2 linked regions of the Drosophila melanogaster genome follow. The protein of the gene in region 1 interacts with the protein of each later gene in a pairwise test. Each region holds a gene or a part of one and is shown on either strand. Other genes may lie near its edges.

Region 1 (4,658 bases):
GGCTTCTGCAGCGGCTTTGGCTGCCCGCAGACGTCACCAGTTTGGACGCCCGCTGCCATTAGCCACCCACCATTCCGTGCTAAGTTGTAGCTAGTGTTTTGTCATTGGTTTATGCTGCGCTCCGTAAACATATGGCAGCATACTTGACTTTCGCTGACTTTCGGCTGAATGGCACGATTCGGCTGAATGGAGTCACTTGCTCCTGCGGTTCGAATGGCGAAGGGACTACTGACGACTGGAGGAGGACTATTCATAAACATGGGCGCAATTGCCTCTTACGCGTAATGGCTGCGAAAGGGCTTCAACTTTGACCTTAGCCCAAATAGGTTCATAAAGCCTCGAGCACCCAAGCCTTTAAACTGCAGGCCAAGCGAAAAGTGAAGACAGCTGGGGCAACTTTCGCCGGCTTTTCATGCCGACTTGATTGTTGCCTCCTCCCGAGTTTTAAGTGCGAGATGGGATTCACACACTTTGATTTCATTTGCCATAAATTCTGTTTTCCAGGGAAATCCCTTCTTAGACTCCTCATTGCATTTTAAATTTAATTTTATGAACTCCACATAAATTAACATTGGGTAATGTTTGCTTGATTGGTTGCCGGAAAAATAACTCAAGAGATAAATAAGTTGCAGTTTTTATTTGTTTTTCAATACAACTTATGTAATATAAACGAAAAATAAGAAATACTTTTGTATACACTAAATTATTAAGGCTTGGGTCTTGAATGTTTCATACATATATAAAAAACCAGCACAATGTAAGCATTTACATTAGGCTTAATAATATATTAAACAGGTTTATCAATAGTGGAAAAAAGAAAACGAAATATTCATTGAAACAATCGAAGATGATGAGGAATTGGCGTACTTAGGTAACGTGTAATTAAATACTAATTTTGTTGGGTTTATCAGCTGCTTCTCAAGCAACTCAAAGACGCGAAGAAATCCAACTGACCTATATATAACCATAGTCTGAATATTAAAACAGAAATCCTTCGCCTACATTTCAATTAATTTAAAACGCTGTCGCACTCAACGAGCTTCCTATCCGTGAATGAAAGCTCAACCGGGGGACGTCAATTCACTGCCTGTCGGCGACCAGTCGTATCCACCTGTCCGTCTGCGTCCTGCCACCTGTACTGGTGGTACTGGTGGGCGGCGCGTTCGCGGCCCGATAATGCCGAACATATGGCGAGTCGCATGCGCCGAACGAACGCACAGGCCTTCGATGCGAATATTAAGGGTCCTGCTTTAAATTACAATTAATTTTTAATTAGGCTTAAATTAACATTTTCAAAGACGCTTTGGAGCTGCATTAATCAATTAGCGTACTCGTATACAGAATGCTCAGGCAAGGGGGCACGCAAGTCAAGCGAAACAAAACGAAATATCTTAAACTCTAACTTTGCTCATCACAATTGGTACTCGCTGAAGGGAAGCTGATTGTATTCAGGGGCTGGTTACCTAATCGGGTTTCATTTCCGGCTGCCAAAGAGTTTGCCGCGCGCTGCAGGGAACGAAATGATGAGTTTGCTTTGGTCTAGAAATGTTTGACTTCACTCTGGCACTTACCATGCGATGTGGCTGGGGACAGAGCGTGCGAACTGGCGTGCCGTTTGATGCGCGGAGTATCCCTTAGCTCTGAACCAGATGCGGAGGAGGCACTTGTGCAGGCATTTGAATTGGCCGTCACATTGGTCAGGGTGGACACTCCGCTGCACGAATCCCCTGTGGTTGGCATTGATTTGTAGCGCTGCAGCGAGGTGCGCGGCTTCTTCGGCATTGTGGCCTGCTGCACTGCCTCTTCTAGGGCGTTTAGCCAGTCCTCGCCCTCGCTTTCGTCTTCCAGAAATTTCATGTAGAAGGAGGGTCGCTTTGCCGTGTGGTGCCTAGTGGGTGTGGTGCTTGTGCTTGATTTGGGAGGTTCATGGTGTTCTATTTTCGACTCCAGTTGCTGGGAGGCCTCAAGCAGGAAGAGATCCGTCTCCGAGTCGTTGAGGAAGTCTGCCATTGGATCGGAGGCAGCTACAGGGGAAAGCACTGGCTCTGGCGTAGCCTTCGTGCAGGTTAATCTTGTGCGGGGAGCAACAGGTGACGGAGCTTTAGGAGTTTTTAGTGGCATTACTGGTTCGGACACAGCTATTTGCTCCAACTGGCTATTGAGCCTAGCACAGCGCTCCTTAAGAAGAACATTAGCCCGCATCTGCTGTGCCCGCCACTGCTCATTGTCCAGTTGGCTGCGTCTATCCTCGACGCCCTTAAAGGCTATCTGCCGGCGTCGTTCGCGCTGGCTCAAACTGCCTATTTCCGCGGAGTCGAAGCCACTGTCCGTGGTGGCATTGCTGCTTCGGTTCCAGCGCCAGCCCACCTCCGGACTTTCGGTGGCCAGTGTCTGGGAGAAGAGGCAGCTGGGCGAAAGGCTGATGTCCAAACGGGGCGAGAAGTCCACACTGTCGTCCAAGCTGGGCTTGTGTTTGTGTGGTGGAGTGCTCTCCAGGTCGGACGTGATTCCCACTACTGCTGAGGAGTTGGGCGAGCCGGGAGTGTCCACGGATACACTTACATTGTGCCCTGTGCGTACGCTCTGTGGTGAAGCTATTAACAAAGGATTGTTTTATGGATATTCCTGATTTTTCGAGCTTGGAAATCCTTACCACTGTGGCGCTTATGCAGCAGACGCGTGCTGAGCGTTAAAGATCGCCGTTTAAGTGCGTTCTCCATAACTTTGACTTAACAATAAAGTGAACTGCAGTCAATTATTTAACTAATCAAATTTGTTTTGTTTTGCGCTGCGGAATGCGCTAAAAATTAAAGTAAGCCGACAGTGTTGCCAGATGGCACTGTCAAAACTCACATGGTCACTCTGCTATTCAACTCGTTTTGTTTATAGCCCTTTTCCACTTAAACGCATAGTTTAATAAAAAAATCCACTCTCCAAAATCTATGAAAATATTTTATCTTTAAAATACAATCAATTTAAATTTTCATCTACATATGTTCTTTTATATAATGGCTGACTTGATGATATTTCTGTTACCACCAATGCAAGAAATCAGTTATTTGAGTACTGAGACATCCATTGGCACATAAATCCATATATCGCAATAAGATGAACAATAGGAAATTGTCTTAAAGAAAGTTTAGTGTATAAATAAAATAGTGTATAAATTTACATATAAGTAAACTTACGGAGTAAACGTTATAAAAATAGAGAAATGTACAAATATACAAAATATAATACAAAAAAAAAAAAAAACAAAGATATCTATAATTTTTTTTTGTAACTTTTAGTATTTTATCTATCGGAGTGCAAACATTCTGGTAGGCGGTCATGCTTTGGTATTTGGCAACACTAAACTCCGGTCACACAACAAAATGCTTATGGTGATGTGTTAAAAAGCGAAATTTTGAATACAATTTACTGATCCAGAAAGATGAACTACAATCCAAATCCGGGTATGCGGAACCGTAAGTGGGAGAACTGTAAGGATCAGGCTACGCAAGCAAGTATACCTGAAGGATGTCCGGTGCAGCCACTCCGGAATTTCCCCACCCGCCGCTGACCGGAATCGGAATCCGGAGTGCTGTCACTGTTTACGTTACACGTTACCCCGTTTTGTGCGCCGCTCCTGGCTTCCACTGCATCCTGCTCCCCAGTTTCTATGCCTGCTGTGCGTTTCCGTTCCGTGATGCGTGTGTAGCTTGAGTGCCTGTGTTCCCCGCTTCCCAGTTGTATCGTTTAGATCCTCCGGCACTAACTAATGGTTGCTCTGTCCCAAAATAGCCTCAGCTGCCGGTCGCCCAAGGCCGCCGAAGCGTGTGAGTGATGTTAACGCCATGGGACCCTCGGCTCCGATGATGGGCGGTGGCGCCACCTTCATGGCCCCGCCCACCGGCCCCGGAATACTAGATCCCAATATGTACGGAGCACCTGCTCCGGCCCCGGTCAACAGCTATGGCTTCGACCCCAATCTCGGCCAGCCCTCGCAGCACATTCAGCAGCCACCACAACAGCAGCCCGGATACGGATATGGAGCACCACCTCCCCAACAGGCGGCTGGGCCACCCACCTACGGAATAGGAGCACCTCAGCCTGTAGCTCCACCCACTGGACAGTACCCACAGTTCGCCATGTTCCAGCAGCCCATCGTGCAAGACATGGCTATGCAGTACGGTCAGAAACTAGCGGATCAGGGCAAGCAGATCATGGAGAATCAGTTCGAGAAGTGGGTGCCCGTAGCCAAGCTCAAGTACTACTTCGCAGTGGACAACGCCTACGTGGGCAGGAAGTTGCGCCTTCTGTTTTTCCCCTATATGCATAAGGTGAGAGTGGTGAAGCACAAACGGAGAAACCATATAAATTACATACTCCTTTCAGGATTGGTCCCTGCGCTACGACCAAGAGCACCCAGTGCAACCACGATATGATGTTAATGCGCCAGATCTCTATCTGCCCACCATGGGCTACATCACATACGTGATCGTAGCGGGTTTGCTTCTGGGCATGCAGAAGCGATTTTCGCCGGAGCAGCTCGGCATTCAGGCCTCCAGCGCCATGGCATATAGCATTTTCGAATTGGTCATTTACTCCCTAGCCCTGTACGTAATGAATGTGAAGACGAGCCTGAAAACGCTTGATCTGCTGGCATTCACTGGTTA
Region 2 (5,108 bases), about 10 Mb from region 1:
TTCTAATGGAAGAATTATCAATATTGGTTCTATTGCCTTCGGGCATCTGAAGTGCAGGTGAGTGCTGGCTTAAAAGTGGATTAGTTCAATTACAATTTATGAAAAACGGAATAAAATCAACAATATTACCCACATTTTATTTAAAATTATGTCATAGCAAGGTCAAAAGTTAAGAGTCAAAATAAATTAAAAAATAATCTGGCCCAGTATTCATAATGCTGTATATTGCAAAAATTCATAAGCTGCATAAGCCCTCCTTCCATTTTCCCTTAGAACGATTAATCTTGTGCAAAGCTGACTTTGGCAATGTTAATTGAATTCACAAATTTCGCTGTCATAAAGGTTAATTTTGACAATTATTGCAATAGGTTAAATCGCTTGTTTAATTAATAAATTAACGATGGCCTCAAACAATGCGGCAGCCGATGTCAACTTCATTTAGCATTTAATGCACACACATTTGCGCGCAAAAATCAGACTGTCACAGTTCATTAATTTCCCACGTGCGCCTCAATTAACATCAGGTGAAATTGGAGTGGTAGTATGTTGGTTAAAATAAAAAATGAATGCTGAAAAAATAATCCACATCTCAACTGGCTAAAAGTACACAAAAAGTGTAATATTCAATTTGGCGCCCTTTCCATCTCCATTGGCAATTGCAATTCCGTGAGTTTCTTTCCAGAAGGGAATGAAAAGTGCTTTTCAACTGAAATACAATCACGTAGCCAGGGGCATAAGGAAATTAATGTTTTTATACGGGAAAATACAAATCAATATGAGACCACTTGTGAAATTTGTTCGTCGTTTAAGACAAATGAAACCGTTTTCATACAACAGTTTGGAGCCAATAATATTCATCCAAAAATATTCATACTATTTAGTTCTGTTATATTCTGATATATTCTCTCCTAGCATAAATCTTTATATGTTTATAAGTTTATCAATGCAAATAAATATATATAAAAGGTGATATAAATGGTCTGCTTGTTCCAGGTCAATTGGAAACGGGATTAAGTTCGACTGGATAATCTACGAGCCTGCTAGCCAATGCATTGCAATGCAGTGAAATCACATTTCAGTAGCACTTTCGAAATGGCTACGGGAAATGGCCGTGGAAATTTAAAGCCTTTTAATAGCCTGATGTGCGTATTATTTATCCTCGCATTTAATAATTAAATATGCGCGCAAATTGAATTCATCGATGTCATTTGTTTTTCAGTTTTCCGCTGGGTTCCGCTTTGTAGGGCGCCGAGCACATTACGCATACGCCGTGTGGCGCGGAAGTTTGTTTGTCGCTGTGGCACGGTCATTTGTGCCGCCGCCTTCCCATTAATTACCAATACTCATGCGCCAATGCATAAAAGCCACGCGCTGTTTGCCACAAAACTGCGTCGGCTTTTGTGGCACGAGGCAACCACATTAACCAACATCACCGCCGAAGGCTCGTTAATTGGGTTCTGTTTGAGTTTCGCTTTCATTTTTCGGGCCATGCAGCGCAGCAACGAGTTTCTAATAATGGAAATATGGCGGAAATCCCAGACTTTTATCTCCTCTCCGGCAATTAATAGCCATCTGTGAAGTTATAAATTTCAATATGAAGACATCAATGCTTTAATTGCTTTTTTAGTATCGGCGCGCGAGATGCGAAATGGTTTCATTCGATACAGCAATTTATTGGGCAATCAAATTAGAGAACACCCTACCACTCGTTTATCAACACAATTTGATTTGCATAAACTGGTTCTTGTTTTTTGGTTTGGGCTGCAATGTGTTTATTATGCAAAATCTGAATTCCCGACAGGCGAGGGCAGGCAGGAAGCTCATAAATTATTAGAGAATAAAATGTGGGATGGGGTCCGAAAAAAATGCAGATAGCTGACAAATGTTAGGCAGTGCTGAAAAGTATGCTACACTCTGTCAGACATGCGATTGATCGATTTTCTGGACAAATTGTAGTAGTTTTGATTGCATCAGCATGCAAATTGGACAGTGGAATACGTATTTGGCCTGCCATTGGCAGGGAATCTACAACTCGGTTTGCTGATCCCAGCAGCAGCCTAATCCCCCCGATGACCAGATGACCCAATCGCTTTTCCAATTCTCACCCATCTTCATTCTCAATTCGAGTTGGACGATGGCACAGTTTTCAACCGTCGCTAATTACTTTTGCGCTGCCGTAAATTTGCGCAGCCAATTTAAAATAATAGACAATGCAAGTGGCGTCGCCGTTTGCTCTTTATCTGCTGATGCAGCTCCGGGAATTGTCCGTGGTCCGCTGTCCACTGTCCGCCGTATTCCGCGTCCACTATTTGCCTTTTGTTGCATTGTCCGGTTCGCAGTAATTTCGTGTAATTTGCATTAATTTACAGTTTGACAATTTACAGTTTTACAATTTACAATTTGCAGCCACCGAGGAGCTGTGGAGCCAAGGAGCTCACAATGAGCGGCCTAAGGCCACCGACGCATGCCTGGCCAAACAACAGGACCGAAAAAACAGACACAGGCTGGCTGACTGACTGACTGACTGACAGGACGAGGATCCTTAGAGCGGCAGCGTTCGCTTCTCCTTGGCTTGGCCAGAGCAAAACTTTGGCCACGCTTTCAATGAATTCATTATGGCCCTGACCAAGGTGGGGCGAAGTAAGAATATTCTTCCAGTTGTTAAATTGTCGAGAGGTTGGTTGTGTTTTTTGCAAAAGTACCTCCAGCATACCCTACCCCCACCTTTCTTTCACAAACTATCTGCCCACTCAAGGAAAACTGGGGCTCTGGTTCCTGTTGAGCCTCGCAGCTCTTTGAGCCACCCACTTGTGCTCGTTACTTTTGGCTTGTTCTTTTGTCGGTTTTGGAAATGGGCTTTTTCGAAAAATGTTGCGGCATTATTATTCTTGTAGCGGAAACTCTCAGCACAAACACAGGTGCACTAGCACTAGCACTCGCACACACACACACACTCACACACAGAGATAGACGTTAACTTTACCGTTGCTTCTAAACTGACTCTACACTTTCTGATTAAATTTTGGTACCCTCTCGAACTGGACTCGTCTGCTCGGCAGCGCGGTTGGCCGTCTTGTGATGCTCGTTGCCATCGAGTCAGCGGCTTTTATATGCGCTACTCGTCTGCGCCGCCATCTCTGCCAGCGTCGGCAGAACTCGAGCGCTCTGGGTGCTCTATGTCATCGCAGGGGCTTTATCTTATCGCAGTCGCCGTCTCGGTCGACTCTGCCGACGCCTCTGCACTCGTCATGGTGTGAGTGAGTGCTGCACCCGACACGAGCCTGTGTGTGTGTGTGTGTGTGTGTGTGCGTGTGTGAGTAAGTGTATGAGTAGATGTAGTGCATGTAGCGTGCTTTTTGGCCACCACGTGCACTGTTACGAGCCGAACATCGGCATCGCCGTCGTCATCAGCATGCGGCATATTTGCTCGTGGGTTTGTTTTGGGATTTGACACTCGCAGAAAACTCCATGCTGGGCGCTCTGGTAGCCGGAATGCACTTTATATTTTGGTAATTAAATGGCACGTCTTATCGGAGCGGCATTCGCATACAATGTTGGGCTCAGGGGTTACGACGCCTCGGGTGGCCAAAAAGACACTGAGGGATGTGTGCTGGCTTTCTCGTTTAGTTACTACCAAAATTTAGAACTGTTCTAGAGGTTTTCCTAAGCCAACTTTAAACGTTGATCGCCCTTTTATCGCAAAACTTTGTTCCATCGAAGAAGCAAAGTCTAAGCTGCACAAAAACAATGATAAAGCCGAAAAGGAGGCAATCTATTAGTCAACATAAATTACTAATTTACCAATAAACTATAGCACGCTCCCCATAATACAGCAAACGTATACTCGAAGATAAATCAACATAATAATTTCTTCTGGGAAATAATTCAATTAATTACAACTTGGCAAATAAACCCCAAAGGATTTAAAAGAAATTGAGTTTTGCTAACAGCACATTATGATCACGATGATGTAGATGAGACCCAATACAACATAATACTCGTACAGCATCCACCCAAATACATCGACATTGTTTGCAGTGCACCACAACATAACAAATCAAAATGTGCAAATGTTCTGGACAAATTTTTAGCATAGCCTTGACACACACACAATAAACTGAAGCACTCACACAGGCATGCTCTCCCTTAAAAGAAGGCAACACGGACACACACAAACACATAGGCTGGCTGTGGACTCAACTTGGCTAAAGTTAATTTGGCCCAAAGAAGAAGGCAGCCAAAACAGCTGCTGCAAGAGCAGCAGTAGCAGCAATATAAGGCACACTTGGCGGCATAATTTCTGTTGGCGCATTCAATCTTGTCCAAGAGTGGACCACCAACCGACGAAAGTGGCTAGAACCGAAAAAAAAATGAAAGCATTTTGGCCAAGCAATTTCCAGGCTGTCTGCTGGGTTTTTAATTACACAAAGCAGACATATACAGCTCATGTATTTCAGCTGTTAATTGTCAAGTTTCGGCTGAAATGTCGCTACCAATTTATCAAGCGCCTCAGGAGCAGGCTCCCCGTGCCTTTTTGGCCCACATCCTGTGCTTCTCGCCCAGCGGGTGTCCTGCAGCCTCTGCTTGTTCCACTTTCACGCTGTTCCAGCAGCAGCTGATGCTTATTGCAGATGACCGTTTTACCAATGTTTCGTTCCGGCCACCTTGATTTCTTTTTGTAAGTGTGTGTGTGTGTGTGTGGGAGCGACGGTGCGTGTTGGAGTGGGCAAATGTTTAAATTTGTGGCCTTTTTACCTCTTTGCATCTCAAGTGGCCAAAGGCTACGTCCTGTGTGTGTGTGCAGGAAACGGAAGCCGACATTGACACAGTTTGAAATTAACATGAGCCTGGCCAAAGACCCACTAAAATCTTGAATGCCTTCTAGCGTTTGGCCCCATTTCACAACGTTTAGCTGTCCACCTATTTCATGTAGTTTTTTTTTTTTTGTTTTTGGGCTTCCATTCCACGTCTGCTGCATCGCCTCTTCCCTTCATTTTGCTCCGCCGCATAAGTGGGACCACTAAACGTTCCGTTGTGGCTCACACACGAGCGGACGAAGTACACTGAGAAAAGTTGCTCCAAAAACCCAGTCGAGCAACTAGCAAAAC

Evidence for each region.
Region 2: the proteins of CG6425 (region 1) and Scp2 interact in a two-hybrid assay, tested with the Drosophila melanogaster proteins (one large-scale study listed by BioGRID).

What each region holds. Positions count from the first base shown.
Region 1 is NT_033777.3:26,714,545-26,719,202, forward strand, and holds CG6425 (uncharacterized protein), read right to left. Parts: upstream 2,846-4,658; 5' UTR 2,721-2,845; coding exon 2,654-2,720; intron 2,595-2,653; coding exon 1,572-2,594; intron 1,507-1,571; coding exon 1,475-1,506; 3' UTR 621-1,474; downstream 1-620. Other genes in the region: Yif1 (Yip1-interacting factor 1), read left to right, coding at 3,434-3,482, 3,784-4,322, 4,378-4,658.
Region 2 is NT_033777.3:16,580,581-16,585,688, forward strand, and holds the start of Scp2 (sarcoplasmic calcium-binding protein 2), read right to left. Parts: upstream 3,084-5,108; 5' UTR 2,984-3,083; intron 1-2,983.